Styela clava: one gene and its partners. The protein of the gene in region 3 purifies or fractionates together with the protein of the main gene of each other region. This does not show direct contact. Links are inferred from orthologs where the notes say so. Each region holds a gene or a part of one and is shown on either strand. Other genes may lie near its edges. The genes, in order: SWI/SNF-related matrix-associated actin-dependent regulator of chromatin subfamily A member 5-like, bromodomain adjacent to zinc finger domain protein 1A-like, DNA polymerase epsilon subunit 3-like and cysteine-rich protein 2-binding protein-like.

Region 1 (8,593 bases), on a different chromosome or scaffold from region 3:
TTTGGTTCTATTAGGAGTTCGGGTACTGTGTGTGTTACCCAAGTGAATATACCCTTCAGTCCTTTTACACAACTTGATGTAAAGTAGGGCGAACAATATTATTTACCTCAATATTGGTACACACACTTCTGGAGCGCCCTTTAGGACTACCGGTATGTTTTAGGTATATCTCGGGTAGGCAGGGGCGGATTAAGCCTCTTTGGTGCCCTAAGCACTGAAGACTTTGGTGCCCCCTCATGTGTAATTTAATTATAAAAACAACAAGAGAGCTATGCTCAAATATATGGACACGTAGCGCCACCCAATGGCAATAATTTTGATGACGTCATAGCGAAAAAAAAAGTAATAGCCTTCTGGAGAAAAATTTTATCTTCAACCACTGAAAATTTCAAAGCAATTGGTCCAGTATTCGAAGAGAAAAGCGACTTTTTAAAAACGTGTCAAAGAACAACAACAAGGATAACAAGAACAAGAACAACAACAACATAATATTGAAACGATCGTTATGTCCACTACGTGTCCAATAAACCACATAAGTGTATTATCCATTAAAAATAATCACAACCAACAGTAAATAAAACGAACTTTACGAACCTTTTCAGGTTTTTTAACTATTATATATAGCCGATATATATATTGGCCGTTTACTGCCGATATTATATATATGCAAACACGCAATATCGGGCCGATATATCGGTTGAGCTCTAATCCTGAGGGAGTGTGACAATAAAGATTCATGCCTCCAGTCTCAACGTGAATCGAAATGCCAAAGGATACAAGTCACAACTGTAGTTTGAAATTTTACCGGTACCTAGTAGTCTACCTCAGAGTGGTTCAAGGTTGCTAGGTTGAAGGACCGCAAAAACTTTTGACGAGGTCTCGCGGGCCGCAAGTCGGAGAAAACCAAAAGTGATCAAAATATCGCGAGTTTACTTACTTTAAATTTATTAAACAACGAGATCTTCTAATCAGACTATTATTAGGTTGCATGGTTGGCGTTCGTTTTCATGGTTTTGGCCAGTTTTCGTCTATTTTACTACCCAGTGCGCTGCATATGGATGTATATGCGACACTTTGTGGGTATTCGGCAACGACTAACATACCAGATACAATTGTATTCGAGTATTTTTGGAGCCTGATGTGGATCTCGTTTTTGAAAAAAATTGGTTGTTCAGGCGATTGCACAATAGATATAAGTGGAAACAATTGTTTTTGCCTGGTATCCCAAAAATGCAATAACCTCCACGGGGAAAATTTCACCTGAGTCTTCAGTATAGGACGAAGAGAAATTTAGTTGATACTGCCGTAGACTGTGTACCAGGTTGGCGTTAGGCCATAACTTTGTTCTGACTTTTCTTATTTTGGTTCTATTACGAGTTCGGGTACTGTGTGTGTTACCCAAGTGAATATACCCTTCAGTCCTTTTACACAACTTGATGTAAAGTAGGGCGAACAATATTATTTACCTCAATATTGGTACACACACTTCTGAAGCGCCCTTTAGGACTACCGGTATGTTTTAGGTATATCTCGGGTAGGCAGGGGCGGATTAAGCCTCTTTGGTGCCCTAAGCACTGAAGACTTTGGTGCCCCCTCATGTGTAATTTAATTATAAAAACAATAAACCACATAAGTGTATTATCCATTAAAAATAATCACAACCAACAGTAAATAAAACGAACTTTACGAACCTTTTCAGGTTTTTTAACTATTATATATAGCCGATATATATATTGGCCGTTTACTGCCGATATTATATATATGCAAACACGCAATATCGGGCCGATATATCGGTTGAGCTCTAATCCTGAGGGAGTGTGACAATAAAGATTCATGCCTCCAGTCTCAACGTGAATCGAAATGCCAAAGGATACAAGTCACAACTGTAGTTTGAAATTTTACCGGTACCTAGTAGTCTACCTCAGAGTGGTTCAAGGTTGCTAGGTTGAAGGACCGCAAAAACTTTTGACGAGGTCTCGCGGGCCGCAAGTCGGAGAAAACCAAAAGTGATCAAAATATCGCGAGTTTACTTACTTTAAATTTATTAAACAACGAGATCTTCTAATCAGACTATTATTAGGTTGCATGGTTGGCGTTCGTTTAAAGAAGATATATAAAGCCTTCAGATATTTTAAAGTTAATTTCCGAGAATTACCGTTGTATTTTGCGCATCTCGCGTTTAATGTCGCTTCAAATTATATTCTTTCGTGACAGATATTACTTGAAATCAAACACTGCGTGATGGGCAAGGAAATACATTTCCGCCGTGTTCTCTCATGTCACCTTTCTTGCGACACTCATTTTATTACGAATTGTTATATATATTGAGTAATTTAGAAACTTGCAGCGTGAGCAAGCTTAGTGACATCGTCAAATACCAACCAAGTCAGTCTAAGTTTGTTTTCTGGACCTAGCTAAAAAACTGGATTACGCGGCGTTAAGTCGGCTCTGCGTTTCGTCACTACTGTCACATGGCCGATGCTTGTAAACAGAGGAGTGTTTTGGCACAAAGCGTTAGAAAAAGGGTTTGAATTTCGGGATCCCAACCCCAGTTGGAATATCTAAAAAAAAACGTTACTCCATTACATACAAATATACGCTAAAATTGTTCTGTGAGCCGCACGGAATGTATCAGCATGACAGAGTTTGGACCACCCTGGTCTACCTTATTAAGAAACTCCCGACTTTGCTGACCAATATATCGTTGAAATGTTTGCGGAATCGCCATATGGTGGCAAATTCTGATGACGTCATAGCTCAAAATAAAAACGAATCTCATAAAGCTCACAGAAATATTTGAAACTAATAAAAGTAATAGCCTTCTAGAAAAAAATTCCATCTTTAACTACTGAAAATTTCAAAGCAATTGGAATTTTTAAAAACGTGTCAAAGAACAGGAACAATAAGAACAACGACTATATTGCGGAAAATGGCTGTAATCCAATCACAATGTTTGGTTGCATTAAAAAGTACTCCTATTATAGCGTTACAATCCCAATGTAACGAAATGCCTTTACATATTATACATTATAGAAAATGTCTACATTACAAATGCAGAATGATTCCTCGTGACAGCGAAATTACAGCACAATTATTCAAACAGTCGTGGGAAGAATATTTTTCTTACAAACCGTCATTTGCAACGTTTATTATGAAAACAACCAACAGCTTTTTTACCAACTTCTTTGTTGCAAAAGTTGTCAATTTCAAGATTCCTTAAAGCCACCGCAAATTGATACAACGTTAACGATTTATGGTACAACATGTTCACCAACAATACTTCAAACGTCATTTCTTGACCATATACACGAAAAACTATCGAGACTATGTACAAGTATTTACTGACGGTTCGAAAAATCCATTTGGCGTAGGTGCTGCATATTATGTGCCTCAAGCGAAAGTAGAGAAAAAACTTAAATTACATCATAAAAACTATTAATATTCCGGGGCGAAAAAAGTTTGGGAAGCGCTAGCTTAGGGTAGGGATAGTGGGAGTAAGCCGCCAGCAATCCTCTGGTACTAAATTATCCCCTACTGGATTTGAACCTGCGAATCTAAGCGGGGTAATCTTAGGTTAGAAATCAAGCGTAGTCCTAAGGCTTAGTACGATGCGCCACTCAACGCGAACGTAGTCAACTGCAGTGCACTGGCTGACATAGATACTAAACACATTAATATACGTCTATACCCTTACGCTGGATGACGAAATCTCAGGATTGTTCTTTATGGCCGTACATACCTGTATCATGATCGCTTTTTACCAAGAGGTCTACTGTAGAGACAGACTCAAAGTGCTTCATACAGAACTATAGAGTCTCCGCGAACTATTCGTTTACTCAAAATGACATTAATAAAATTAAAGAAGAAGCAAATACATCCGAGTTATTGAATAGCGTATTTTCAAATCACTCATTAATATTAATCTGTAAGTAACAATTTGTTTTTGTTACGTTCTTATTGTGGGGCTCCGTAAATAGCAGTCTACCTCTTCACGAGCTTCATAACACCAAATATGTGAATCAGTCGTTGTCGTCGGTATGCACTTGTCTTGAGCAGTCAATTGTCGTATTTACTTCACATAGAACCGTGGTTAATGCTGTTGCTGATGTTATATCTCTGCCGTTTGGTTTGGGCGGAGAAATTACCTTTACTGTAGGCCAGGACCGCACCTAATTATTTATTTTGGATCATTAGCCCCAGTTTTTGAATTTCCTATTATACAATGACTTTCATAGTTTTGAATATATACGAAAAGAACTATAACACCATAATAAACAATTTTAATTTGCTACTAACCATTAGTCGGTCGAGGAAGTGCCCGTTTAAGGAGGCCGAAATATCATTTCTGGAAAGACCGGACCCAAATAATTTTGAAGTTTTATTTGCGGACCTTCGATAAAAATAGTTGAGTAGCCCTGCAGTAGGCATCGAAACAACGTCCCATTGTGACTCCACTTTTAAGGACATCGCCGTCACGTTATTGTATGAAAACATTCTTGACTGCGAAAGTCAATGAGCTAAGATTTGTACGTTAATTTAGAGAATGCATTGATATAACGCTAAACACGCCGTTATTCTTTCATGGAGTGGAGGGAAGGTTACATTTTTGATGACATCCACGTGCGCGTTTACTCGAAAAACAAAACAGACAAATATAATGGAAATGCTGGATTCTTTGTACTAAGCTCCCGTCACTGATGTAAAAATGTGAGATCTGAGATAAACGGTTCCATTACATTTGAACCCGTGTACATTTGAACCCACGTACATTTGAACCACGTACGTCTGAACCCACGACAATTGCACCTGCGTACTATTGCACTTATGGAAATTTAGTTGTTTTACGGATATTTGTACATGGTTCAAATGTACGTGGGTTCAAATATACGTGGGTTCAAATGTACGGTCACCGAGATAAACACCCCCAAAAATACTATGAACTAGGTATTATGCGATCAGAAAATGTATGAAGCAAATCCCAACCGTCATCTTCATTCTGCAACTTTGAGATCACGCGTTAGAAGCGTGATCGGACCGTAACGGCAACCTGGAGTAATTAAAGTAATCAGTTAAAAATATTTGATTACAACAATCAGTTAGCTTTTTTCGTCAAATATTTGTGCGCGGGAAGCCACAAGCGACATCGCAGTCACAAATGTTCGTCGTAGGATAAGGTTTGATTTTGTGTAGAATGTATGGACAAGCTGACTGTTGGGTTATGACAGCGAGTTTGAAACAATATTCAGGTGAGCTAAATGTTCTTTAAACCTATTGTTTTCATTGATATTCCATTGCTTTCATTTTTCTATTGTATAAGTGGTAAATTAGAGGTTTTCGGGCCTATACGAATTGGAATTATTAACCAAATACAGAAGTCTAGATTGGTGGGTGATTCTCTTTTGTATCGAACGGGTTCCATCGTTTCCTCAAAACTGGTTGAACTTAAAAGCTATATGACAATACATAGACTTATCATATTAAGAAACTTAAACGTAATATACTGATCTACGTCGCTACGTAAGCTGCATTCAACAGGACAAGATTTACATGAATGTAAAGCATAACTTTCAAAACTTTCGCAAATGTAGCGCAAAATCAATGGTTTATTAGAGATTCGCCGTAGCCTTTTCCCTTTCATATTTTATTGTGTATAGGGTGCTCCCAGAGTATTCGTACCAAGATGGCGCACATCCTGAACACAGTATGTGTACCTGGTTAGGGTTCAGGTTGTGCACCATCTTGGTACGAATACTACCGGATCGCCTTGTATAGATTGGATCTTTGTACAAAGACGCTATCAACGTTCAAAATAAGAGAATTAATAATTATCCAGTTTAAGTTAGCAATGCAGATTGCGCTGGGAATTCAATTTTAAATCATTCCTAACCCCAAATGGATTATTAATAATATGTCATTTTAAAACGTGGCGGGAGCGTTGGCAGAAGATTTGACTTCCGACGCCTATTTTATTCCTGTACACCACTGTTTTCGTTTAGAATGCTAAACAATTAGATGCAAGCGCACCGCGTCTCGGGTCTTGCGATCAAAGTCGGCATTGCCACTTATTTGATCGTGTGTTTTCCCTCAAAATTGTAAGATTTATATTTTCACAAGTTTTAATAATTGTCTTTCGAATCAAAATTCCAAAAAAGTAAGACCCACGTTCACGTTTAAAAGGCTAAATAGTTCGATGCAAGCCAACATTGTTACGCTGTATATTTGATCCTGTGCATATCGAAATTTAAGATTTAGATTCTGTACATGTTTTAATAATTGTGTTTTAAAGCAGAAGTCCGAAAAGTTCATTGGGTGTTTTACTTTTATTCTAATATTTGCAACTCGTGCAGTTTGAAAACTACACCTGGTATGTTATAAAATATGGAGCTGTATTTATGAAATTGAATGATTACATATACCTGTAACTGTAAGGTCGATGAAAAGCAATTTCTATGTTAATCTATAATATTTGAAATTTAATGGCAATCGCTGAATAAATTTTATTCGTCTAAATTTTCTTAGTTTTGTGTATTTAAAAAAAAATCGGAGGAAAGTTTGGCTTTTATGAAATCTAATGTCGAAATTTACCCGTTACGTATTTTATTGAAACTAACGTCTATTTTTTGCTTTGCAGTGTCTCTGTCAAATAACATTTGTCTGAATTAACTACCTAATGACATAGTTGGCTCAACGAAATTTAGTTTAACTCAAATTTAGAATTGGCTTGCACAAAATCATGACATATATATTGATTTTCAGCTTTTTAAAACACTGCTTGAAAGTTGACAGGACAATTTATCATTGTAGCAAAAGAAATTCGTCAAGTACCAGCTTTTCATCACTGAGTGAGATGGAGGCCTATCAAGTCTGAAGATCAAGTATGTAACCAAATCATTTGAAAGCTTTTCAATTTAGATGTCTATAGTATAGATTAATGATATATTGTATTTTTTTCGGAAAATCTACATACAAATATTACTTTCAATATATTGAGTATAAGTTTTGGTTTGTGTGTCAAATAACATTTTCTAAAAATTACAACCTCAAAATTTCATCATAACATGATTCGCACAACTACCGTTTTATTCTGGCTGCTGAGTCGATCCAGTGAATAAGGCTAGGGCCATGTTTTAGAAATAAAAATTAAGCTTTTTTTTCGTTCCCGCCCAATAGCGGGTAGGCCACTACAGCGCCAGGCTACGCAAAGTACTCACGGCGATAAAATACGGCCAGATATGGGCAAATAGGGAATCGATTCCAATAAGCCATCTTGGCTAATGTTCTGTGGTCGTTTTTGTTCGCTTTCGACTGATATGTTGGCCATATTATTAACCGAGACTTACGCATATTCATATACCTGCCAAAATTAGACCGTATGGTGGGCTGGGGTAGGATTAGCGTTTGATATATAATGAGAAACGAATCAAGAACTTGCGAATATGCAAAAAAAATCGACGCAAATAATTAATTCCTGTCAAATCCCATAAGAAATGCATTGCGCGCATCGGAAAAGTTGGAAGCATATCGTCAAAACGAGAGAGGCTTCATATGACCCCGCGAAAACGAGAGAGAAGCACACTCTATATTTATATATCTCTGTGGGTTATATGGTCCTTTCCCCGACCTTTGACCTCCGAAAAATTCTTCCTATAGTTTACCATTGCAAAATGTTCGGGGCTATTTTAAGAGTGCTTTTACGAGTTCGCGCCTGTGAAATGGGATATGTGTTGCAAACCATCATTATGAGTCATCGCATACAACAATCTGTTTTTTAAAAGTACGGTGAAGAATTTTAGCCTAGTCTATCATAGCTATTTCTACACTGATTTTTTTATCACTGCAATTAAATTAAAATTCCTAGGAAGACAGAGTGATCATTGAATTATCTAAATTATATTTAAGTTTCCGAAACACAACTGAAAACTAACGAATAGATTTCGAAAACGCGAAAACGAGGTAATGTTTACGACCACGTTCGAAAATATGTCTGAGTGAGAAAAGTATTTGAGCGGATGCGAAAAGGAAGCATTGTTACGTCACTTTTTGCATCTTGCTGATTGGCCAATGTCACGAGGTAAACAAGGAAGTCGATGCTCGGGGAAAGGTCCATACACCTCAATGGTATGAAGTTTCCCTCAAGCATCGATTTCCTTGTTTATTTCCGTAACAATTACTAATCCGCAATAAGTTAACAATGACGTAGCATTTAGAATTCATGCCGCCGCTCAGACATTATTCAAGCGTAGTTGTAAACATTGCCTTCTTTTGGTAGTTTTGCGTTTTATTCGTTATTTTTAGTTGGGTTTTCAAAGAATAGTCGTAAATCAAACAACTTACTTGCCAGTACCGGTATGTCATCCAGGGATATTTAGTTTAGTTACAATAATCAAAATTGATAGCGCAAACGCTGCAATAGACTAAAATGAGCTATCATAGCCTAAAAGCGACACGTTTTTTTATTGTTTTGTATAAAAATGATAGTTTTGAACATGCTGTGGGCAAGTATAAAAAGAATCTTTTGGGGGTCAAGGGTCAGGGAAACGTCCATTAAAAGGCGAACCTTTCTTAAAATAGGGGGCAATCAATCATTAATTAC
Region 2 (8,023 bases), on a different chromosome or scaffold from region 3:
ATAGTTACCGAACATAACAAAATTTTTTTTAATTTCTTGCAATCTAGAGTGTATAAAATAGATAAATATTATTTACTTTATATCGGAGATTTTATCGTTATCTCGACGTCGTTGGTAATAATATCGTTTATTTTAAGTTGGAGGTATTGATTTATATTCAAAATTAAAATTATAACACATAACACGAGAAATTTAAATCAGCGCTGGCTCGAAAAATAAAACACGTTTTTCCGTCTTAATTCTCCATTATTGGCGGACCAAAATTTGGGGATCGGGTTCACTTATTTGATTATGATGACGATGGTGAACAAAAGTACACAAACATACTGTTGTTAGTTTTTAGCCGTTCTGTCCTTTCTTCTTTCTATGTGTATCTTAAGACCGTAAAACAAGTTTTATTTTTGGACTCTGCGCTGATTTGAATAGTTCATGTTGGCTGTTATGTATTTTTGTTTGTAAATGAATACCGCCAACTTAAACTGAACGATGTTGTCATCAACGTGGATGCCAATAAAATCCGCGATAGAGAAGCTATTAAATACTATTTAGGAGCTATTTTATTCGCTCTAAATTACTAGATTGAAAAAATCTCCTGTTATGTTCGGTCACTATCGAAACTGAGGATGGAAACACTTAATAAGGACACAATTTGTCGAGGATGCATAAACCATCTTGACTAAGTTAAAATATACGATAAGAAAATATTTTCAATCAAAAACGTCCTCGATGTTTCATAAGTTCCTCAAGTCCGTGCGGCGCTTATCGGAATTCTTTCATGTCGGCTGCAATATATTGCCGAACCACACATGGACGACGACGCTAGGATATGTGCGCCATATTCGGGATTCCTATAAACACGAAAAAAAAGTATTTGAAGTTCGCGATGTTCGAATTTTAAATTCGATTTGGACTGCCCTGCATTATATTAGTCAGTTTTTAGTTGTGTTTCCGAAAATTAGTTGTAAATGAAGTATTTTAATTGTCATTATGTCTTCCGGTGAGTTTCAGTTTAGTTTAGAATGTGAAGAAAAACTGCAAGAGGATCGAAGACATAATTATGTAAAACTTTTGAAAAAATAGTCATACTTCGCAAGTGGTTTATCATCATCATCTTCATCAGTTGACAATTCGCCATTTGTATGACCATTACTCATCCCTGCTTCTGCAGAGTCACTAGATTTCTTGATTGGAATAACATCCAGAATACGACACATTTCAAATCTGGAGAATTTTGTAAAAATAATCATGGACGTTAGATTTCAATTTTGAACATTCCAACATGGCAAGTAAACAACAATCAAATCGCTATTCTAGAATTGTATTTGTTAATTATACATTTATATATTTGCAGCTGCAAAATACAAGTATAACAACAGAAACAAAAAACACCCACTTGTTTGTTTTGACTTTGACATCCAGTGTTTCTCCAACAAAGTACCGCTTCTTGATAAAGGAAAAGATCGTATCATTCAGAATTTCTATTCTAGATCGAGCAATAAGGTTTACAAGAAGCAACATTGGTTTCTGAAAAATGACGCATGCAATGTCATATATCAATAATATTTAATAACTACCGTATACTCTTGCATGTAAGCCAAGTTTAATAAAACTAAAAAAGAAAGTTAAACTAAGGGGTTGGCTTATATGCGCATAACTGATCGCACTAAAAATGTGCTTAGATATCAGAAACCTCTTGGTATAATCCTATATAAACTGAAGTTCAAGTGTAGACGAGGTTAAATAATTTACTCCAGTTTTGTGGAGGTAATTAGGGAATTTATAGGTTCCGTTTTTAGGCAACCCTTTGCTTTCACATAGGTTTGTCACCCAGTAAAATATTACTGTGCAAAACGAAAATAAAATTATGATTTTTTCCATGATATCGTACAAGTTAAATTAAAACATTATCATCTACATTTGCTTCAACTTAAAACCAGTACCACATTGATTCCAACACAGGGCTTTTTCCAGCACAGCATCTCACCACTGTCTTTCATTTTTTCATCAAATATATGGTATATTGAATTCTTCAATTTATCACAAAGAAATTTTTATTAGATGATTGAAATCAGTTCCATTCTCAAAAAAAATATTTGACCTGAACCGAAAAAATAAAATTTCCAATGAACAAACCTGAAGACCTTCAGGAAACTTATCGAACTTTTTTCTTGCCTCTTCTTCACAATCAAGTGCTTCCTGGTAAGTCATGTTCCCTCGCTCCGTGATTGAACAACTCCATACCAAACTGTTGCACAGAATGGTTCGATCAAAGAACTCCCTAGAAAAAAGTTTTGCTACGATAAAAAAGACTAATTAATTTTAATTGTTAATTAATTAATTAACAATTACTTGCTAAATTTCATAAAGACACCACTTTTAAATCTGATTTAGACACATGTGTTATAGAGATGTATCGGTATCGACCAAGTTTTCGATATCGGTAGTGTATTGGTATCGGCTAAATGTAGACTGATATTTCCGATACATTTAGCTTTTTATTATGATCTAGAATGTTTTAAAAAATAAAATAAGCTATAATACTGATGTTAAAACTATTTTTTTTTCTTGGGTAGATCGTGAACAAGGGTCATGCACACCCCCTCCCCCACGAGTAGAAACGAGAATAGGATTCTGACCTTTTTTTAGCAATTTATCGGCCAAACCAGCTGAATCGCTTTTTCAACCTGAAATATTCACTATGAATAATGCTCAAAGACTATTTGTTTTATTAACTCTTTTGCCCTGCACACTTGAGCTAATAAATATATAGTATTGGAATATCAGTGTATCGGCCTTTTTAGTTGGTCTAGAATAGTTTAGTACCACAAGTACTTCCAATGGGCGAAGCATAATGAACCTTGCGTAAGTTATTCTTCCTAACCACCACCGGACTATGCCATCCCAAAATTATGTCACAACGACATCACAATCCATCATACAGCTTGCAAAGGATAGTTATGATCGCCCAAATGGCATCTGCGCCATCGATAATAAACTAACTAACGCCGGCGATGTCTCTTATATTGTGATAGTTGTGACGAGAAAACAAAGAAAATTATGATCGCCTGCGCGTTTTGGACGACCATCCGTATACTTCATAGGATTTTATTACGGCCCTGTGACGTCGTAATGACGTAGTTTTTTGGTGATGTAGTCAGGTGGGGGTTAGAATTATGAATGACATATGCAAAAAGCCAGGCCAACTAGAAGTACATGTAACTAAATTATACCAAACCAGAAAATTAACATGACTGCATGAGAGAAATCTTACTCATAATCAGTGAAAGCTTCTTTGGTAAGAGGACAGTAGAAAACTTCATGGTCATTACCGGGAACTTCAGGCGGTGTTTTTGGAACAAACAGCTTTCGGTGGAGAAGTGGCATTCCTTTATCTGTCTATTGTACAGCAGTAAATGGCAATTAAAAATGTAACAGTCAGAATTGAATCACTCAATTATGTAATTTACAAATTTCTGTAAGTAAACACAACAAATATAACTGCTCCAAACAAAGAATTAAAACTCAGTAATTTATATTCATAGACCTGCAAAACTTAGCAAAAATATACTTCAGTGGCCTTCGACACATTTCTTGGATTCCAAGAATAGCCCCCACATTGAGAAACATCAATTACAATAGTGAATGCAAACTCCTCATCTACGAGACAGTCTGGGCCTTTATAAAAATAATCAGATACACAAAATGGAAATTTTTTACCACAGCATTCGAGAGACTTTAGCAAAAATATGGAATGGTCATGTAACATCCTCAATTATTTTAGATTATTATCAAGACAAGCATGGTGCGATCTGACGTCGTCAGGTCATGCCAGATATCCGCGTGTCAAAGACAAAAAGTGCGTTGTTTTTTACCCAAATGTTGGGACATCTTGGAATTGGAGAATTGTGCCCTATTGTAGCCTACGTGTAATAATAGCGCGGTGGTATGGCTCATCGACATCGTGCTAAGCATTTGCAGTCTCTGATCAATCACTCTGCGTGGGTTGGCAGGTAATCCCATACCCTGATACCAGGCATGGAATGGTAACCAAATGAGAGGCCGTGGTTCGCTATAATATGGTTAAGCCGTTTTATCGCTTTCCTTTCCCCCGGGTTAAATATGCAAATCTTATAACAATAAAATGATTGATGAAAACTGATTATGAAGCCCCGTCGCCCACTTTATCATAGGCTCGTTAGGCAATAATGTGGTTTATGTACCGAAACTACCAATTGCAGTTTCAAGTATTTTGTGGCGTCTAGAACTGCCGCAAAACCCTGGCAGGATTTCCAAACCATGGCCCCTATGACCAAACCCACCGCGACCTACGGAACACATTATGTTAGGTCGCGTTTAGGAACATACCATCACTAAAATCGAAACACTTTTGTAAGCCTGTCTGCGCGCCTGGTTACATATAATAAACACATATATTCATAAACATCATCCAGTATTGTCCAGTAATTAATAGTGTTCCATTGTTGATTACAGATGAAGTTCACCATGTTTATCGGTAAATATATATTATTTTACAGGTTTTTTAATTATTGATAGCAGAAAAATAAAATTTATACAAATACTGAATTAGTCATAGGTTTCTGCATATTACGTCAAGTTCTTTTATAAAACTAGGTTTTTGTCTAAATTGTTCTATATTTCTCCTTGCTGAAAGAGATTTTCTAATTCTTGTTAGGTTGTTATGACATTTTTAACACTTGGATCAACATTTTCAAAAGTAAATGCATTATGTTCCAACCATATCTTATATCTTGCAGTACACAGAAGAAGTATGACTGCATCACGTTCAATTAATAATAAATGTGAAAAACACTGATTATTTAGTTCTAGAAAAATACACGTTCTATAAATATTTTTCAACTTACAATTGTTTATTTCCATTACAACAGAAAAAACATAATCATACACATTTTGTGTAAGAACACAGTTCCAAAATAAATGAGATATAAACTCTGGTTCTTGAGAAGTAAGTACAAATAAATCATTTCCACTAATATGTCTAATCCTTGGTTTAACTTTTATTGAAAGAATGTCCCACATTAGTTTATATTATAATTAAAAGTTTTTATATTATTAGCCAATATTTAAACAATGTCTGAATGTATGTTTGAACAAGCTCCTACCAAACTACCATCTCTAAGAAACACCATTCTATCACCACTCTTCAAATTATTACTTATCGATCTTAAGATCGGTTAGTATGTTGATAGGTATTTTTCTGTCTGTCTGTTTGTTTGTCTGTTAGATGAACACGATATCTCACGAAGGCGAGGTTGAATCTGCTCCAAATTCTGGATGTCTGGATGTGCATTCACCATATCTCGGACAAGAAGCCTATTGATTTTGGATGAATTATGTCGTATAATTAGCGAGTTATTGATAAATTAGTGATGAGACACGCGGTGTCACTATAGAGTCATAAATCGAAACCGCAGTATCAATCGATAAGTCTTCGGTCTCCGACCGATATTCTCGTTTACTATTTGTTTTATATATTGTACGATGTTTTCCTTGTTCTAAATCAGTTCCAGTGATGTTATATTGTCGAAGAAAAGTAATTACAGAATTATGGCTGCATAGAATCTATTCAGTACGGCACACTATACAGATTGGGTGACATTGTCTCGTTTCAGAGAAACCCATTTCACCAATGATCAGACACCCCTCCTTTGGGAGACGTCTGGTCATTGTTGTCCCTCAATATCGGTAAAAATACAGTATAATGAAGTTGTGCAAAATACTACGAAGAAGCGCAATCTAATAACGTCATCATTGAATTTCTCTGGAAAAAATAATCCGATTTACCGAAGGAAAAAAAATTTTATCACAATCTTGGTCATGTGACGGCCGCGATTAATTTAGAGTATTATTGAGACAAGCATGGCGCGATATGACGCGGTGCTAGATGCCCCTCGTTTGTGAGACACATTGAGTGTTTGTTTTATTGAACCAAATGGAGGAAAATTCTTGGAATTTGGATAGTGTGCTGCACTGTTGAATGTTGATGGTGGAGGAAGCCGTAACCAACCAGCAGTTACGGTACATCTGTACATGAACCACCTATGTCAGTATGTATCAATTCCAAAGGTCTGAAGGTATTTCTACCATTACAGCATCAATACAATACAATTTTATTTCGATCTTTCGTCTACAACTTGACAACATAGACAGACAAAACACAAAATAAAAAACAGACAAGGGCGACGATAAGATCGGGAAAATGGGCAAAACCTCGAGAAAGGTTTATAGCGAACGCTGCAAGCATTTGTGCCCATTTACCCACACTCACACGAGTAGAAAACACATCACAGCAATTATACTGAAAATTAATAAAAGGCATGCAGGCATGTACATAAACACGAGAAAGTAAAATTCACAGGCAAAGATTACTTGTAGAATTATAAATAAATTTTGATGAGCGAAAGTGTTGAAAACAATTTTAATACAATACCGGTACAGCAATAATAGCATTTAGATGAGCTTCTGTTTTACTTGGTAAACAAACAAAGCGTGAACAAAACAAATACAAACTTCTCAATAATATCATTAATTATTTTTGCTATATACAATGGGATAGAATATACTTTTGCACAATATAAGACTAAGGGCAAAATTTTAAATTTGACCAAAAGACATTTTCCATCGAGCGATAACGGAACCGGAATGTCTTTCAGTTCACTTATTACAGTTCTCACATTATTCAGTAGTCAGTTTTCCCAGTTCTCATTGCATGGTTCAGAGTTTGAAAACACTATTCCGAGTACATCCAATCTTAGTACAATGGAGACATTTGAAAAAAATGGGATTAGTTTATCCCAATTAGTTCTTATTCCTAAAAAAGAACAGTAGCCAGTACTGGCACCGTACCACACTAAATGTGCCGCGGAATAATTATGGATGTTTCCCCGACCCTTGACCCATTAAAAGATTCTTTATTGAACACTTTAGTGCAGTGGTCGGCAACCCCCGGGCCGCGGCCCATCGCCGGTCCGCGGAAAGGTTACTACCGGTCCGCAGAGAAGTGACACAGAAACGGACAAGGCCCTAATGAAGCCTATACAGTCTAACCACATACTCCACGATCAAAAAAGCACTAAACCAGACAAACATAACGCATTTCAGCAGCATGTCTGACTTCACAAACAATTCCCATGTCATTATGTCGCATTGACGCTGGGTCAATTGTTTCCTCAACGCCCGTATAAGAAAGTCTCACATCAGTTGGAATAAGATCTCTCGAACAAAATGATTCTCGCTAGGAACGTGACTAGTGACTACTCCACTACTTGCTCATAGCTAACCGGTCATGACTAGTCAGTGCTAATTCTATACTTTAGGAATCAGGATAATCATAAGTTAACACATGCACATCGGGTAAAAAATTAGTTATGGCAAAACAAACAATAATAAAATCAAATGTTCAATCAAACATCAATCAATACCCAGACTAGAGACAGAAGGTTTACAGGCATTGTTACTTATCCCACCATCTTATTAATGTGAGGCCTGGTTTTCAATATATATTGATAACTACAAAAAACGAAATATCGAAGTAGGCTGTATGAAACACGTTACATGTGTCGGTGTCGACCATATCTCCAATATTGGAACAGATCCCGCATTAAATAGCATGGCTTTCGTTTTTTAGTATATTGTCAACATAAGTTTCCTAACGCGTATAATTTATTGCATAAGCATAGTTCGTTTGTATAAAAGGTGGTCCACTAAAATTTTCGTCAGGCTTTACCGGTCCGTCACTTAAAAAAGGTTGCCGACCACTGCTTTAGTGGACATAACCATATAACGATAGGATAGGATTAGGAGGATAGGATTTACATATTTATCCCGGGGGAGAGGAAAGCCGATAAGACGGCTTATCCATAGGGCGAACCACGGCCTCTCGTCCGGTTACCATTCCAAGTCGGGTATGGGATTAGATTTACTGTATTGTTTGTTTTCGGAAGCATGGACTTGGTGGTGGAGGAAGCCGTAACCGACCAGCAGT
Region 3 (5,781 bases):
GAGGTGGCATACGACGAATCATAATAACGTACAAATACATGCGAATTTATTGTATTTTCTCCTTTATGCGACGTTTATTGGCGCGTTTCGCTCCGAACCAGGCTCGAAACAAGCAGCAACTGATATCTTACCATATGTGAGAAATTACTTTTATTTGGAATGACCGGGAACTCTTCCGTTCTAAATTTGTTTTAGCAACGATTGAAAAGGCGCCAAAATTCGGTTAGACCGGAGTGCTGCAATTTGTCAAAATATTAATAAGAACGCGGTCAAGACTGCAAGACAGCAATAGCGTATCGCACGGTACCGGTACCGGTACGCGTATTACTTATTACTCAAAGCCCATATATACCTCTTATACTTACTGACTTATAATCATTGTTTATTTAGCATACTCCCATACCAGTACTGCTATAGGGTAAATTAACTTTTAACCTGTTTGGACAAATCATCTTGGCAAATACATTAATGGAACACTATGCAGCTATCTGCTATGGTTTAACTTACTGACTTAACTGGAAATAATGCATGTCTGCATGTAAGGGAATGATTCTGTTGTTAAGTGTAAATGGTTTAATGTAGACTAGGTCTATATCGCTATTATTTCAGTATTTGTTATTTTTTCCTTATGTATTTGTACTACCATATTTGGGCCATTCCAAGCAAAAGTTGAATTCCATCAATTTTTTTAAGTCTAGTGAAAGTAATTTTTTGTATTTTTTTTAAATCAAATGACATTGGAATTTTATTGAACTGCATTCCTTTCACCGAAAAAGTTGAAATTTCACCCAGGTTTTGATGGTTTTAAAAATGGCCTAAAATGTAGAAATTTTGGTATAATTGACATATTTTGTGATGATTCCTGTTTTGATTGTGTGATACAGTTATTTCATATGGTCTAAATGGACTCATTGAATTTAAGTTAATAAAGTTTAAATGGTTGCAGTGCTGTAGGACATTTCTTCACCCTTTTAACGATTTATTACCATAATTTTGAGAGATGATAGAGGCCGCTGTTCCGAAGTGGAAAAATGTCCTGTGGTGTCACATACAATATCCACATTATTGGCATGGATTTACACTGTTACATTAGGGGAATTGAGCAACACATAGAGGGGTCCTTCAGCTACTGCACCAGAAAATATTATGGGCTCCTGCTGTACCAACGCAAAAATTTACAGCACAACATAATGTACTGTTAATGCATGGTGGATTTACCGTCCTGTAGTGTCACACTATATTTTACTATATTTTTTATATCCACTAAGAATGGGTGTGTCTCTTGGGTTGAACTTTTGTTGAATTTTTTTCCATATTCAATAAAGCAACTGATTGGACAATGAAACAAAACATGTAGCTGAAAATGTAAAAATATATTGCATCTAACAACATGAAAATTTTCTGAAATTGTCCTGTAGTGTCTCTTGGAATAGCCCATTTATGTAGCCTATTGCTTCATTAAAAATCATTGCTTTTTCATTAAATATCAGTTTATTATACTAACTCTTGGTCTGATTCTTATGCTCAGCTATTTAATATGCAACTATTAAAAAAATATATGTGGACTATATATTTTGAATAATCTGCCCTTGTATGATAGTAATTATTGTCATTAGTGCCCAATTGCAGCATTCAAAAAATGGACCTTTTCCATTTACTCCCACCCTGACTAATATCCATAATTCATTTCATTTTTTGTTTGATAATGCTGCAAATTTTTAGGATTTAGTCGATTAATGGTGAATGCATTGATAAAGATGAATGGGCCCCATAAAAAAAATAGTATCCAAATATTGAGGCGCAGTTCTTACCACTTTATGGCAGCTCCTGCCACAAACGAACCGCGGCAGCTCTTGCAATGGTTTTATAGCGCTTTTCAGTAATCAGTATTAACGGTATATTCACAAATTAATGTACCAGATTTTAATTGATCATGCGGAATTATATCTACTCAAACCCTAACCCCAAATCCATCAAAACTGTATCCATAAGAAAAACGTTCCAACTCACCCAATATTTTTCACCATAAGGGACAGCCCTTTCTTTACGACCCACCTGCCGTGGTTATGGCAGCAAAATTTTACCTGCCATTGGTTTTCAATTTGCTGCCGGGGTAACGGCAACCTGTCATTGGTTTGTGGCAGCTAAAAAGTCAGTCGCCATAGGTTTGGCCGTAGCGGCCATGGTATGGAAAAACCGCCATGGTTTTGCGGAAGCTGCAGGCGCAACAAAATACTTAAAACTGCACTTGCAAATATTAGTGGGGGTGGGTTCATTTTTTTCACATATTCACATTTTTTTTTTACTTTATGTCATCTGACATTATGTTTTAAATATTAAATTATTAATATTCATCCGTCCACCAAATGACAGAATTATGTGATAGATTATTCTTCAATATACTGATATACTTGCTCTGTATATCATCACCTTTTGCCCTATGATACAACTACAAGATATACATCTGACCAACTTACAGTTACAGTAATCACCAAATTGTTTTATCAATTACAGTATACAAATATTATCATGGTTCGAGTATTAATTGTTGGGGCAGGTTTAACTGGTGCACTTTGTGCTCATATGTTACGAAGGCACCTTCCAACACAACTTCAATGTCAGATTGTTGTTTGGGAAAAATCTCGCGGAGTTGGTGGAAGAATGTCTTTGTCAAGACCATCTGAAATGGAAGACTGTTCTGCTGAACTTGGTGCCCAATATGTTGAACAGCATACCAAGTATATTGAACAACATAAATATTTTTATAATGAATTATTGGAATCTGGAATACTGAAACCCCTTGAAGGCAAAATTGATGGTTTTCGTGAAGGGATAAGTGAGAATTTTACTTGTGGTGGCGGTTTAAATATGATGGCAAAACATTTTTTTGCCAAATCTTTGGTAGAAACCTGTTTTAACGTTAGACTGGACAGTCTGAGACTTACTAGCGATGACCAAGAAGCAAGTTGGAATGTATGGGAGGCTGCAACAACCAGTGGAAAGCATGATCACTTTGATGCAGTTTTTCTGACAATGCCTATACCCCAGATTTTAGGAATTGAAGGTATTACAGACAATTTGCAGAAGCAGCAAATTTCAGATCTTGAAGGGGCAAGTTATTCCTCCAGATTTGCAGTGGGGTTGTTCTATGAACCTGGTGCTTATAATATCGATCTCCCCTATGTTGCTAAATTTGTTGTCGATAATGAAGTTATCTGTTTCATATCTGTTGATCAAAAGAAAAGAGGAATCGAAAGGTGAGAGAAAATATGATTTCTGATTGCTTTTTCATGTGCTTATGCGGTGATGGATGTTGCCAAGAGTCTGCGAGTGATACAATTGTTTCTAAATTATGGATGACATGGCTTTTATTAATAAGTCCAAAAAACATCTTGTATGGAATATTTTAGTGTTTTTGTGGTGATATTCGAGTATTGAATTTGAATTGGCCATCCCTGTTTTTATGTGCGTAAATCACTAAATCAAACTATTTTTTTCAGAGATGTAGTTAACACATAAATTTATAAAGTCGGGGCCCAGTGATGAAATCTTTTTTATAACTTGGAAATGATTTCTGGAGTATGATTGGGTCTATTTTTCTAGTGCAATATTTATTTAAAATTTGCATTTCTCCCAAGGGATGCATTTTCTTGTCTTGCTTCATAAACAAGTCTTGTTTTTCATGCTACCTTTGATTATATTCAACTATCATGTAAACTTATTTTTTATGGTGTCATCCTTTTGTGCTTCAATTTTTTGTTAATCTTTTTAATACTAGCATTTATATTTTTGAAGGAAAACTCAATCTATTGTTGTTCATACTTCTGCACCATTTGGAAAATCACATTTAGAAGAAGACGCTGAAAAAGTTGGCCCACTCATCATTGAGGAACTTAAAAAAATTATCCCTGATCTTCCAGAACCTACCTATGTCAAATATCACAAATGGAGATATTCTCAAGTCACCAAAGCAACTGAATCTTCTTATGGATGCTTGGTACCAAGAAATAAACCTTTGCTGGTATTGGCAGGAGATGGTTTTACTCACTCTAACTTTGATGGATGTGTTCAATCTGCTATAGTTGTTGAAAAGGAAATTTCGAAATGGCTTTCAAGTAGTGTACTGTAACCTATTTACAAGCAAATTTACAATTACTTAATTAAGATAAAAAGTGCATTTCTGTGCTTTTTCCTTTACATGAAAGATACGGTATTCATGTACAGACCAGTGGTTTTTTAATCGGGATTCCTCGGAAGTTGGCAGAACCCTAGTACAGCCCGGGGGTTACGCAAGTTCACATTACCTATTTGCAACTATTATTTTCTCCACTAAAGTTCATTTTGATTAACAGTATTTCGTTCGCTCTTATTATATTTATAGTTAATACAATTTAGACAATAAAAGACAGGGTTCCTCCAAGTTTAATAAAAACCACAGGCACAACCCTTTCTGGTTAGCTCTTCAAATATTTTGTGCACTTATTATGCTTTGCTGTTTCATGCTTTTATGTGACTTCACTAAAAACTTACCATATCTTTCGTTAACTTAATAATGACTGATCACAAATTTTCCCATTTTCAGGGATATAGCGCTATAAATAATTTAACAAAAATGGCTGAAAAACCAGAAGATTTGAACCTTCCTAATGCAGTCATAGCGAGAATCATGAAAGAAGCTCTTCCTGAAGGAGTGATCGTTTCAAAAGAAGCAAGAGCAGCAATATCAAAAGCAGCCAGTGTTTTTGTTCTTTATTGTACTTCTTGTGCTAATAACTCTGCAATGCAACAAAAGCGTAAAACTTTGAAAGACATTGATGTCCTATCAGCAGTTGAAGAAATGGATTTTGAAGGCTTTATACCAAGCTTAAAACAAAGTCTTGATGCATTCAAGGCCGAACAGAAGGAAAAGAAAGAAGCATCTGAAAAAAGGAAAAAATTAATAAAAGAAGCTCAATCTGTAGATGTAGAGAATGAACCCGTGACTGAAACTGTTGTTGTTGAATAATTCTTTATTATAATAGTACTCAAATTTCTGGCGCATTAAACTTGATTCCAGTTATTCTCGGAGACTTGCAGACTTGAGTGAGATCTTGTTTTAGTTTCCAGCCATGTGGTGCGCCTGCAAACTCATCAGAAAATCCCAATTCTACAACGTGAGAGTGCCTAGGAGAATAAAATTATATTCTGATTTAGTGACTGTGCATCCTGGTATCAATAACTAACAAATTAGTTTTTGTAGAATGACTCCCAATTGTAAACTACAAGTTCATTTATGTGATAAATGTACTATCTTGTTATTATACTTTGATTTTGTTTGTTTATAACAGGGATGTCCGAATCCATTTTTCAAATTAATTATATTTAGTATTTCCAGTTCTCCAAAAATTATCGTTTGGGTATTGGAAGTCCTCAAACTTTTGATGTTTAAATACTCTTTATCCTTACTATTGCGTACTTCCAAATTTTCTCCTAATGTGTTCTTCGTTGAACGTGACACAATTATGTATACATTTAATATTTGAAAAGATATTTTAATGTGTATTTGAAAAGTGAATTTTTCTGACCATCCTTGTTATGTTCGATCAAACTATATTATATTGGTAGTATGTATGTTGCAAACCTGCCCACCTTTCTCATTTCGTCACACTGCCCTGAAGCAATTATTGCACCTACTGCCTTTTTATCAATACCAGTAAATAATGTTGATCGATATACAATTTACTTGAAAAGTTTTTTTCTCACCTTTTTTAGATTATTTCATAGAGATTGTTCAAATATAAT
Region 4 (8,122 bases), about 7.0 Mb from region 3:
TATAATTAAAAAGTAAACACCTAGCACTAGTTTTGAAAACTTTAAATGGCTTTGCAGGATGTGAATATGATCACACAACTTTCAAAATGTTAATCATTTTCATTAAATGTAAAGAACATTAAAATTGATGAATGTTCATGATTGATTATAATTTGTGAGTTACTTACAAGACCATGAAATTAGAGGAGTCCCTGTGCTTATACATTTTAAATCTGAAAAACTGATTCACTAAATTTGTTTTTACATTCCTAAACTTTTCAAATTCAAGTTTAAACTTGGTACATACATCATTTTTGAATATGATCATAACCACATCAATCAAACAAGCACATGCTATCAAACAGTTTAAACACTGTAACCTAGTTACTGTAGTTACTTTTTTTGTAATTTACGTAGATAATCAGAAGCCATGACAGTAAGCATGCATAGGACATAGAATTGAGAAAGGTGAACTGGAGCACAATAACACACATTCTAAAATCGGACTCCTCTTAGAAAGTAGTTCAAAATAATTTAATTTAGTGAGAATGGTTGTCTGAAAAAAGCTTTGTTCGGAGCGAAAGTGTGGAATAATATTCCAAAATAATCAGAATTTTTCATGGAAAACTAGTTGTTACTGAGTATATTGAAGCATTTTGTCTCAATTTCACTTTAAACTAATTTCTGGAATACCCAACTATTTGTATATGAGAATCTTTTGATACTACTACAAATTTCTGAAATCAGATGTAACCTCATGAAAAGATATTTTCATGGATAACGCCAAAACAAATATAGACTCCGCCCACTTTGACTACTTGCTAACCGTCAAGAGCAAATAAAAGATAGCTAAAACAGCATCATTTTTGCTTTCAACATCTGACATAGTTCATGAATTTACTGAATACTTTATTTAAAATCCTACTCTGTTTTACTGAAACATTATTTTATATTTTCAATGTTCAGCTCTGCGCATTTACCTGTGTTTTAGCTCGTTTCTCTTTAATTTGTGAGGCGTTGAACGCAGATGACAAATAAGATCTTTTTCTTAATCCTTCTGTTCGTCCTAGACTGGGTGAAGGAGTCATTGCTGATCCAGATTTAAATTTTTTTGATCTTCCTTCTAAAGTAAACAATAATAAACAAATGATTTGATAAACATTGGCTAACCTTATTAAATATATCACACAGTCAATCAATAAATCAGTCAGTAATTGAAATAAGTAAAAGTGCTGTTCTATAAAAAAAAAAAGTTCTAAAAGCTCTGTGCAATTCTATATCAATAAAAAATATTATAATTGGATTGGCAAAATTAAATCAACAAATTATTATATTACAGAATATATTGGTCTTCTTCTAACCTCAGTGCTGTTTTAACTACAAAGCAAGACTTTGTTGAATAAAACAAAGAGAAAATAGCAAATAGCAGTATGGTACCGACAATTGTTGACAATAAAATATTATTTGAAAGAATTTGTTTGTTGACTTATGATCTGATACACGACAAAATCGATGAGCAAAAAAAAATATTAAAATACCTCTGAACCTCGAATCACTAGATGGAGTGTATTCGGGGGGTTTGGTAGGATCAGTTAGTTTCCACCATCCTGATTCCTTGAAAAATCCATATCCACTTGTAAATTGATGAGGGTTGCCAGCTGACATGGTTGATGCAATGGTATTCATCCAAGCCCCAACTTTCATCCTGCTGATAACGTGATATTACACAAAATTATTTGCAAAATCTTCTTATAAGTATCCTTGCAGAAGTATTTCAATAGGAAGTGGCACAATAGCCTATAAGCAACAGAAATATTGGTGTTGCAAATTAATTAAAGGTCATGCAGACCACCCTAAGACCACACCTCACGGTGATGTCAAACTGGAAGGATTTCGAGCCTTCTAAAAACAGTAGCTCCTTATGTACCAGTGGCTAATTGTACAAAGTCTGCCGTAAAAAAGCTGCATAAAAACATTTATACCTGTCTTTTTACAGCTCTTCAGTTTTTTCTGTAAAATCTAATATTTTAAATGGGAATAAATTTGACAACAAAATTTATAAGGTAAACTCACTATGACTCGAACAATACATCCCAATGAGTTTCAACAAAATCACAAATATCTTCTTTCCATTTGAAAAATCCTTGTTTCCCAGGATCAGATTGGGCCATGTTAAAAAGAGAGAGTGCAGTTGCCTGGTTCCTGTCAAAATTAATTTGGTGACATAAATAATATAATAAATAGAAACTGTTTTTTTTTTTAATTTGCTAAATAATTGGATGAATGTTTTTACAAAATATCAAATGAAATTCCCATACCATGTTATTCTCATTCTAATAAAACTTTCTTTTCCATCTTCAGAACAACTTATGCATTTGAATACGTAGTAATTATCGAACAATAGAGGGGATGGTGATTCTGAACGAAGGCAGCCTGTCATAGAGAATGGAATATATTAACGAAAAATTCCAAAAGCTAACTTCTAAAGAAACACTCAAATCATTGCTCATCTCAACTTTCATGCCTTCAAGAATACATACTCATATTTGTTAAACTTTCAATTTTTTTGTTTCAAAAATACTATTTTGGGATGCATTTAAAAAAAGTTGGTCAATAAATACATTCCAAACAAATATACCCAATCTCTGTTTCTCATAAGAATATTGAACAAATATAATAACAAATCAATAACACAAATTTGCAATCTTCAAAAACATCAATTTGAATAGCATCCATATAAAACTTTTTACATAATTACCGGTATGTTATATATTTCTTCATGTTTAAGAAAAAAAAAACATTCATTTTATAATCAAAAACGGTATAAAATAAAACCCATATGTTACAACATACTTGTGTGAACCCATTTAGCACAAGAACTGCAATGAAACACAGGTAAGCCTTCTTTTTCACAATCACAATATCCACATCTTGATGAAGTTGTCTTTGTAGAAGGCTCTGCTAAGAACAAGAAATAATATAATACAAAACACAGAAATTCATACATGACATGAATGGATCAGTAAAGAAATCTGCTGGGTCATATTCATTAAATCACTGATGTAGGATACCAAGATATGAATAGTGCTTCAGCTTTATAAACATTAGCCATTGACAAGTGCAATTGGACTAAGTTGCGAGCACTCCATAACCCTACTTACAAGTGTAGGGGATCGCGTACCATTTGCAACAATAATAAGATAGTTTTAAAAAGAAGGTGTAGGTATAACCAGCTCAATTAATAGAACATGTTTTAACATCAAGCTAAACTGAACATCAAAATTAGTTACAAAGTATTAAAAATTCCTACCAATTACTGATTGATACTAGAGGCTAGTCTGTGGCGCAGCCAGAGGGGTGCAAAAACGTAACCTCGAGTTATGTTGAACACAATTACATTAACAGGACAAGACATTTTAAATGCTCGTATCGGTTGTGAATTGAATGTATTGCGCAACGGACAAATCATAATCCGCTGAAAAAGCCAGCTTTTTATTGAGTGGCGAAATCATGATGACCGTTTTAGTTGCGTGAGAATTTCAAATTCCGATTTTGGATCCCCTAGACTCTGGCTAGGGTATGAAAACAATCGTGTAAGATTTAAATTATACAGCACAAACCTGTAGCGTCTTCTGTTGTAGTTACATCTATCTGTTCTTGGTCAGACATTGTTGCGATTTAGCCTAATGATATTAACTACATGTAGATAATAAATAATTGGAAGTGTTAAAAACATGAACTACGTGCACAGATTAACAGTGGCTAATCTACAATTGAACAAGCTCTCTCCTACAACCTTTTTTATCACCAAATCTATTAAGAAACGAGAAATTTTCAATACAAAAGGATGAACATTTTACATGGATTATTGAAAAGGGTAGTGTAAGAACTCCTAAAACTTGTGTAATAAGAATTTGAATATCAAAAAGGATTTTTGAGACCAATTTTTGGCAATAACTCAATAAGAACGGCAGTGTCATAAAACAGTGGGAAAATATCATACTGTTAGATTTCTCGAAATCAAAATTAATTGAAAGGAAGAATTCTAGATGGCAACAATATCCAAAACCAAAACACAACGCTGAGTTACCATTCATAACTATTCAGACATGGATATCCATGGCAATCATCTTAATCACAAAATAGGAGACAGCTTAATTAAGAATATTGGTCAAAAACAAAAAGCTAACACATTGTTTAGATTGCTAAAAATACTTTAAAATTAAATTTTTCCCAATATTTTTTTACATAGATGCACGATATACTGCATAATAATTATAAATATATTAAGTGTAATGCAGGAGAATATTGTTATACTACATGCCATATCACATCAGAAATATTATAGCTATGCCTATAAATATCATATTAAGCATATGGTTTGACTTGTGTGAGGTATAAAATGAAGTGTTGATGATATTACACAAATCTACAAAGATTTTACTGACACTTTTTAGAAGTATCAATACGATGCCAGCCATATTGATATAATATATTTTATATAAAGTTATTATCAAAGTTAAATAGTACATAACAATTGCTCTATATTTAGAAAAATTGGTAAGGCAGTTGGAATTAACAATAAAATTAAAAATTCTCTCATCAGCACCTAAGCATAGAAAGAAAACAATGACCACTATGCAAGTATAAGCAAGGCACAAAACCAATAAAAATTAAAGAATTGAAGATGAAGCAAATGATTAATGGAAGTTAATAAAAACTTAACTTATTGGACACAATCTTTTTACATTTTTTAGAATTGTACTTAGATAAAAATAAATCGTAACAATGTTCATTATATATTTGGGTGGCACTTTTAGCTTAAGCAGCTTTATCATGTCAAAATATTCTAAATCGGAAATATTTTTTCTTTAAATTTTGAAATACTATACAATAAATGATTTTTAAACATAACCTGTTTGAATAATAAATCTCACGCAAAACTGAATTTTTTTCTCCAAACTAAACTCATTTTAGGCTACAAAACCACCCCTAGATATGCACCTACATATTATACACTAATAGTACAAATGTAAATAATAATTTCTATAAGTTGGATATGTCTCAGTGCAATGAAGATTTGATTTGAAGTTCAATTTAAAAATAACTAATAAAAATAGTTCATTAATAGATTTCCATCATAAACTTTGTGGTTGTTTTTTTGGTTTGTTCTTTTCCTGTTGAGCTTTGAACGTAAATATTGAATAAACGATACTGCCGACAACACTGAAATGAATGAAAAAAAATTTTTTAACTCAACAATGATGGTGGTTCTGAAATAAGATATAGGAAATGTACAAAACGAAGCCATTTAATCCCATGAAAGTGTTCAATGCTTAAAAATAATTTCAACTTTTGTTTGTTTGTCTATGATTGTTTCAGTAATTTAGGCAATTCATTTCAGTAATTTAGGATAAGAGAGATTTATTATTTTGTCAGCCAGAAAAAACAAGCATCACAAGTTGCAACAAAAATGAAAATATACTACAACATACACAAAGTTTTTTGGTATAGACTGTGGGGAGCGATAGGACCATACTGTCACCAGAGTCAGCATCCCCATGTTTGCACAAAAGTCACGCTCTCTTCTTTTGGGTCACCTTGTATTATTGCAAATAAATGCTTTATAGAATAGTAAGGAAACAACTTTAATCGCTGACCTACCTTATGTTAACGCCAATAAAATTGATCCAAGAAAATAAATAATCACCACCAAACATCATTCCAAAATATGTTATTGCGATATTTTTTAAACAACCGACCACAGTTGTAGTTAATGCGGAATTATAAGCTGTGCAAACTGCTATTGAATACATCAAGATGAACCTGAAAAAAGCAATGTCATCTAATTAGTAATAAAAGGTACAATCATATTTAATCATTTTGTTTGTTTGTAAGTTTATGCAATCCAATCGATAAGGAGTTCAATGCCTGAATGAATGCAAAGAATGAGTAAACTAAAGATATTAAATCACTGATCAATTAACTACATTGCAAAGTATTTATATCATTAGGAATTTAAGTTCAAATAATCAATTTGTTGTTTATCAAGTAGAGTTTCTGTTATTGTGAAAATGAGGGGGATTTTGTGGATGAGCAGTATATTCAAAACGAGTTTGTATCACATGTTATGCCTATGCAGTTTATCAAGAATTAATCAATCTTGCGATTTATTGATCATAGTTTTCATCTCAGGGACTTATTAGCTATATGAAGAGTTGTTAGCAAAAGTATTTAGTAGCGAATTTTAATTTAGATAACAATGACATATAACAAACAAAAAACTCACCCCATTACGCATGAGAGAAGAAATTGGAAAACGAATGCAAATTCATCCCATCCTTGATAGGAGATTCCTTTCTCTAATTCACCAGTATAATAAAGAATACAGGCAGCTGGAACAAGCATTAATAAACAGTTGTAATATGTTATGCCATACTTCCCAAGATCCTGAAAATTTTAGAAAAAGAATGTCATAACATAGTTTAATTCATGAGCTTAGCTTGAAGTAAAAAAAATACACACATATAGCCTACATATTTATACATAGAAAAGTAAGAGCCAATTAATGAGATAGAAGAACAAAGCGTATCAGATTTATACTACAAGAAAGTGGAATAAAGGTTTGAACAGAGAATAAATGATAAATAAAACACATTTTCCTCACAACAATGCTTCAAATATTCAATTTATATTTGAATATATATTAATATATATGACTAAGCAGATCAGGTAAGAGATTCGGAAAAGTATTTATTATAAAAAAAATTCCTATAACAAACTGTGCCCTGCAATTCAATTCAACTACCGGTAGGTAATTTTTTGAGTGATGAAAACTGAAATACCAGAATTTTTTTCCCTGGGTCCAAATCTAAATAAGTTTAGAATATCTTAAAATTGGGAGCAAACAATTTTTCTTTAAATAAACAACTTTCATGCACAACAGAATGCATAATTTCAGATACCTGTGCATTGAGAAGTTTCTTCATAAAAACTGCATTTAATGCTGTGAAAACATCATTAGCAATAATGAACGTATATCCAACCAAATCAAATGCAAGATCATCACTAAAAATAGAAAATCAGTAAGATCAACTTGAATACAAAATTATACAAATATATACGAAAAAATAATCAGATATAAAAAGGTACTTATCATTAAATTTAATATTAATTCTTGTATAAAACTATACCCAAACTGTAATTGAAACAAGTTGGAACACATTCAAAACGTTTTTTTTACTCCGTGCCAGGTACCCTATTATATTTTTTGATGCACAATGTATTCAATTATTGCAAATCTAAATGTATTTGCAATGCATATTATAGATAATACATTGTCAAGTTTAACAGTTATCATACACTAATTACTAGAAGTAAAAGTAGGTATGTCAGTCATATTGAAATTGATTTAGAAAAATTACTTTCCTATCACGGTATGGAAATTCATGATATCAATCACCAAAACAAAATATGAATATGACATTATATTATTGTTTGTAGAAACAAACTAAATATACTATAAAACTATAACAACATCCTGATTCACCTTGCAGCAATAATTGATCCTCCAATCATCATCAAGACTGTTGAGGTGACAGTTCGACTTGCTTTCTTCCTAATATTATAGGAATTAAAGGGTCAATAACAAATACATTCAGATTCTTGATATAATTACTAAAATATTTCATATTGCCAAATTTAATAGTGAGAGACTATATGGGAAAGTTGTACATTGACTTTTTAATACTACGAATCACAATACAATGTAGTAATGCCAAATTTTGAATGAGGCACAAAAACTAAAACAAAAGCAGAGTGAAAAATATTTCTACATGAGATATACCTGAGTACAAAGAACTCTAATATCAATGTAAACAAAATAGAAAATCTTCTTAGTACAGTAAACATTGGAAGACTTAGTTTCTTCGTTCCTCCCAATCCAGCAATCAAGTTGGCGAGATATATGAGAGGTAGAGGAAAAATCTGGAAATAAAAACAGATTCGGATAATAAATATAGTGGAGAGCATGGGTGACATCTAGGTGAGCAAGCATAAGGTGAGCGAGCATAACTATTCCACTCCTATATATTTGGAATCTTATTGCAATGACTTGACTAAGAATGGGCAATTCAAAAATCAA

Evidence for each region.
Region 1: the proteins of DNA polymerase epsilon subunit 3-like (region 3) and SWI/SNF-related matrix-associated actin-dependent regulator of chromatin subfamily A member 5-like fractionate together in Drosophila melanogaster (co-fractionation; 4 studies listed by BioGRID, with this or other methods). This does not show direct contact. The link is inferred for Styela clava from reciprocal best matches to the Drosophila melanogaster genes Chrac-14 and Iswi.
Region 2: the proteins of DNA polymerase epsilon subunit 3-like (region 3) and bromodomain adjacent to zinc finger domain protein 1A-like purify together in Drosophila melanogaster (affinity purification with western blotting; 3 studies listed by BioGRID, with this or other methods). This does not show direct contact. The link is inferred for Styela clava from reciprocal best matches to the Drosophila melanogaster genes Chrac-14 and Acf.
Region 4: the proteins of DNA polymerase epsilon subunit 3-like (region 3) and cysteine-rich protein 2-binding protein-like purify together in Drosophila melanogaster (affinity purification with mass spectrometry; 4 studies listed by BioGRID). This does not show direct contact. The link is inferred for Styela clava from reciprocal best matches to the Drosophila melanogaster genes Chrac-14 and Atac2.

What each region holds. Positions count from the first base shown.
Region 1 is NC_135260.1:16,353,803-16,362,395, reverse strand, and holds the start of SWI/SNF-related matrix-associated actin-dependent regulator of chromatin subfamily A member 5-like, read left to right. Parts: upstream 1-5,159; 5' UTR 5,160-5,246; intron 5,247-6,756; 5' UTR 6,757-6,875; intron 6,876-8,593.
Region 2 is NC_135253.1:143,782-151,804, reverse strand, and holds the start of bromodomain adjacent to zinc finger domain protein 1A-like, read right to left. Parts: upstream 3,493-8,023; 5' UTR 3,385-3,492; coding exon 3,272-3,384; intron 2,279-3,271; coding exon 2,134-2,278; intron 1,525-2,133; coding exon 1,394-1,524; intron 1,222-1,393; coding exon 1,087-1,221; intron 1-1,086.
Region 3 is NC_135251.1:20,534,170-20,539,950, forward strand, and holds DNA polymerase epsilon subunit 3-like, read left to right. Parts: upstream 1-4,612; coding exon 4,613-5,005; downstream 5,006-5,781. Other genes in the region: renalase-like, read left to right, coding at 2,530-3,257, 3,796-4,129; leucine-rich repeat-containing protein 42-like, read left to right, coding at 5,606-5,781. UniProt on the Drosophila melanogaster protein: Accessory component of the DNA polymerase epsilon complex. Participates in DNA repair and in chromosomal DNA replication. Histone-like protein which promotes nucleosome sliding of ATP-dependent nucleosome remodeling complexes.
Region 4 is NC_135251.1:27,510,884-27,519,005, forward strand, and holds the start of cysteine-rich protein 2-binding protein-like, read right to left. Parts: upstream 3,719-8,122; 5' UTR 3,649-3,718; coding exon 3,600-3,648; intron 2,941-3,599; coding exon 2,833-2,940; intron 2,413-2,832; coding exon 2,298-2,412; intron 2,182-2,297; coding exon 2,053-2,181; intron 1,688-2,052; coding exon 1,518-1,687; intron 1,103-1,517; coding exon 960-1,102; intron 1-959. Other genes in the region: nucleotide sugar transporter SLC35D1-like, read right to left, coding at 5,118-5,205, 5,644-5,805, 6,269-6,429, 6,945-7,047, 7,529-7,597, 7,826-7,965.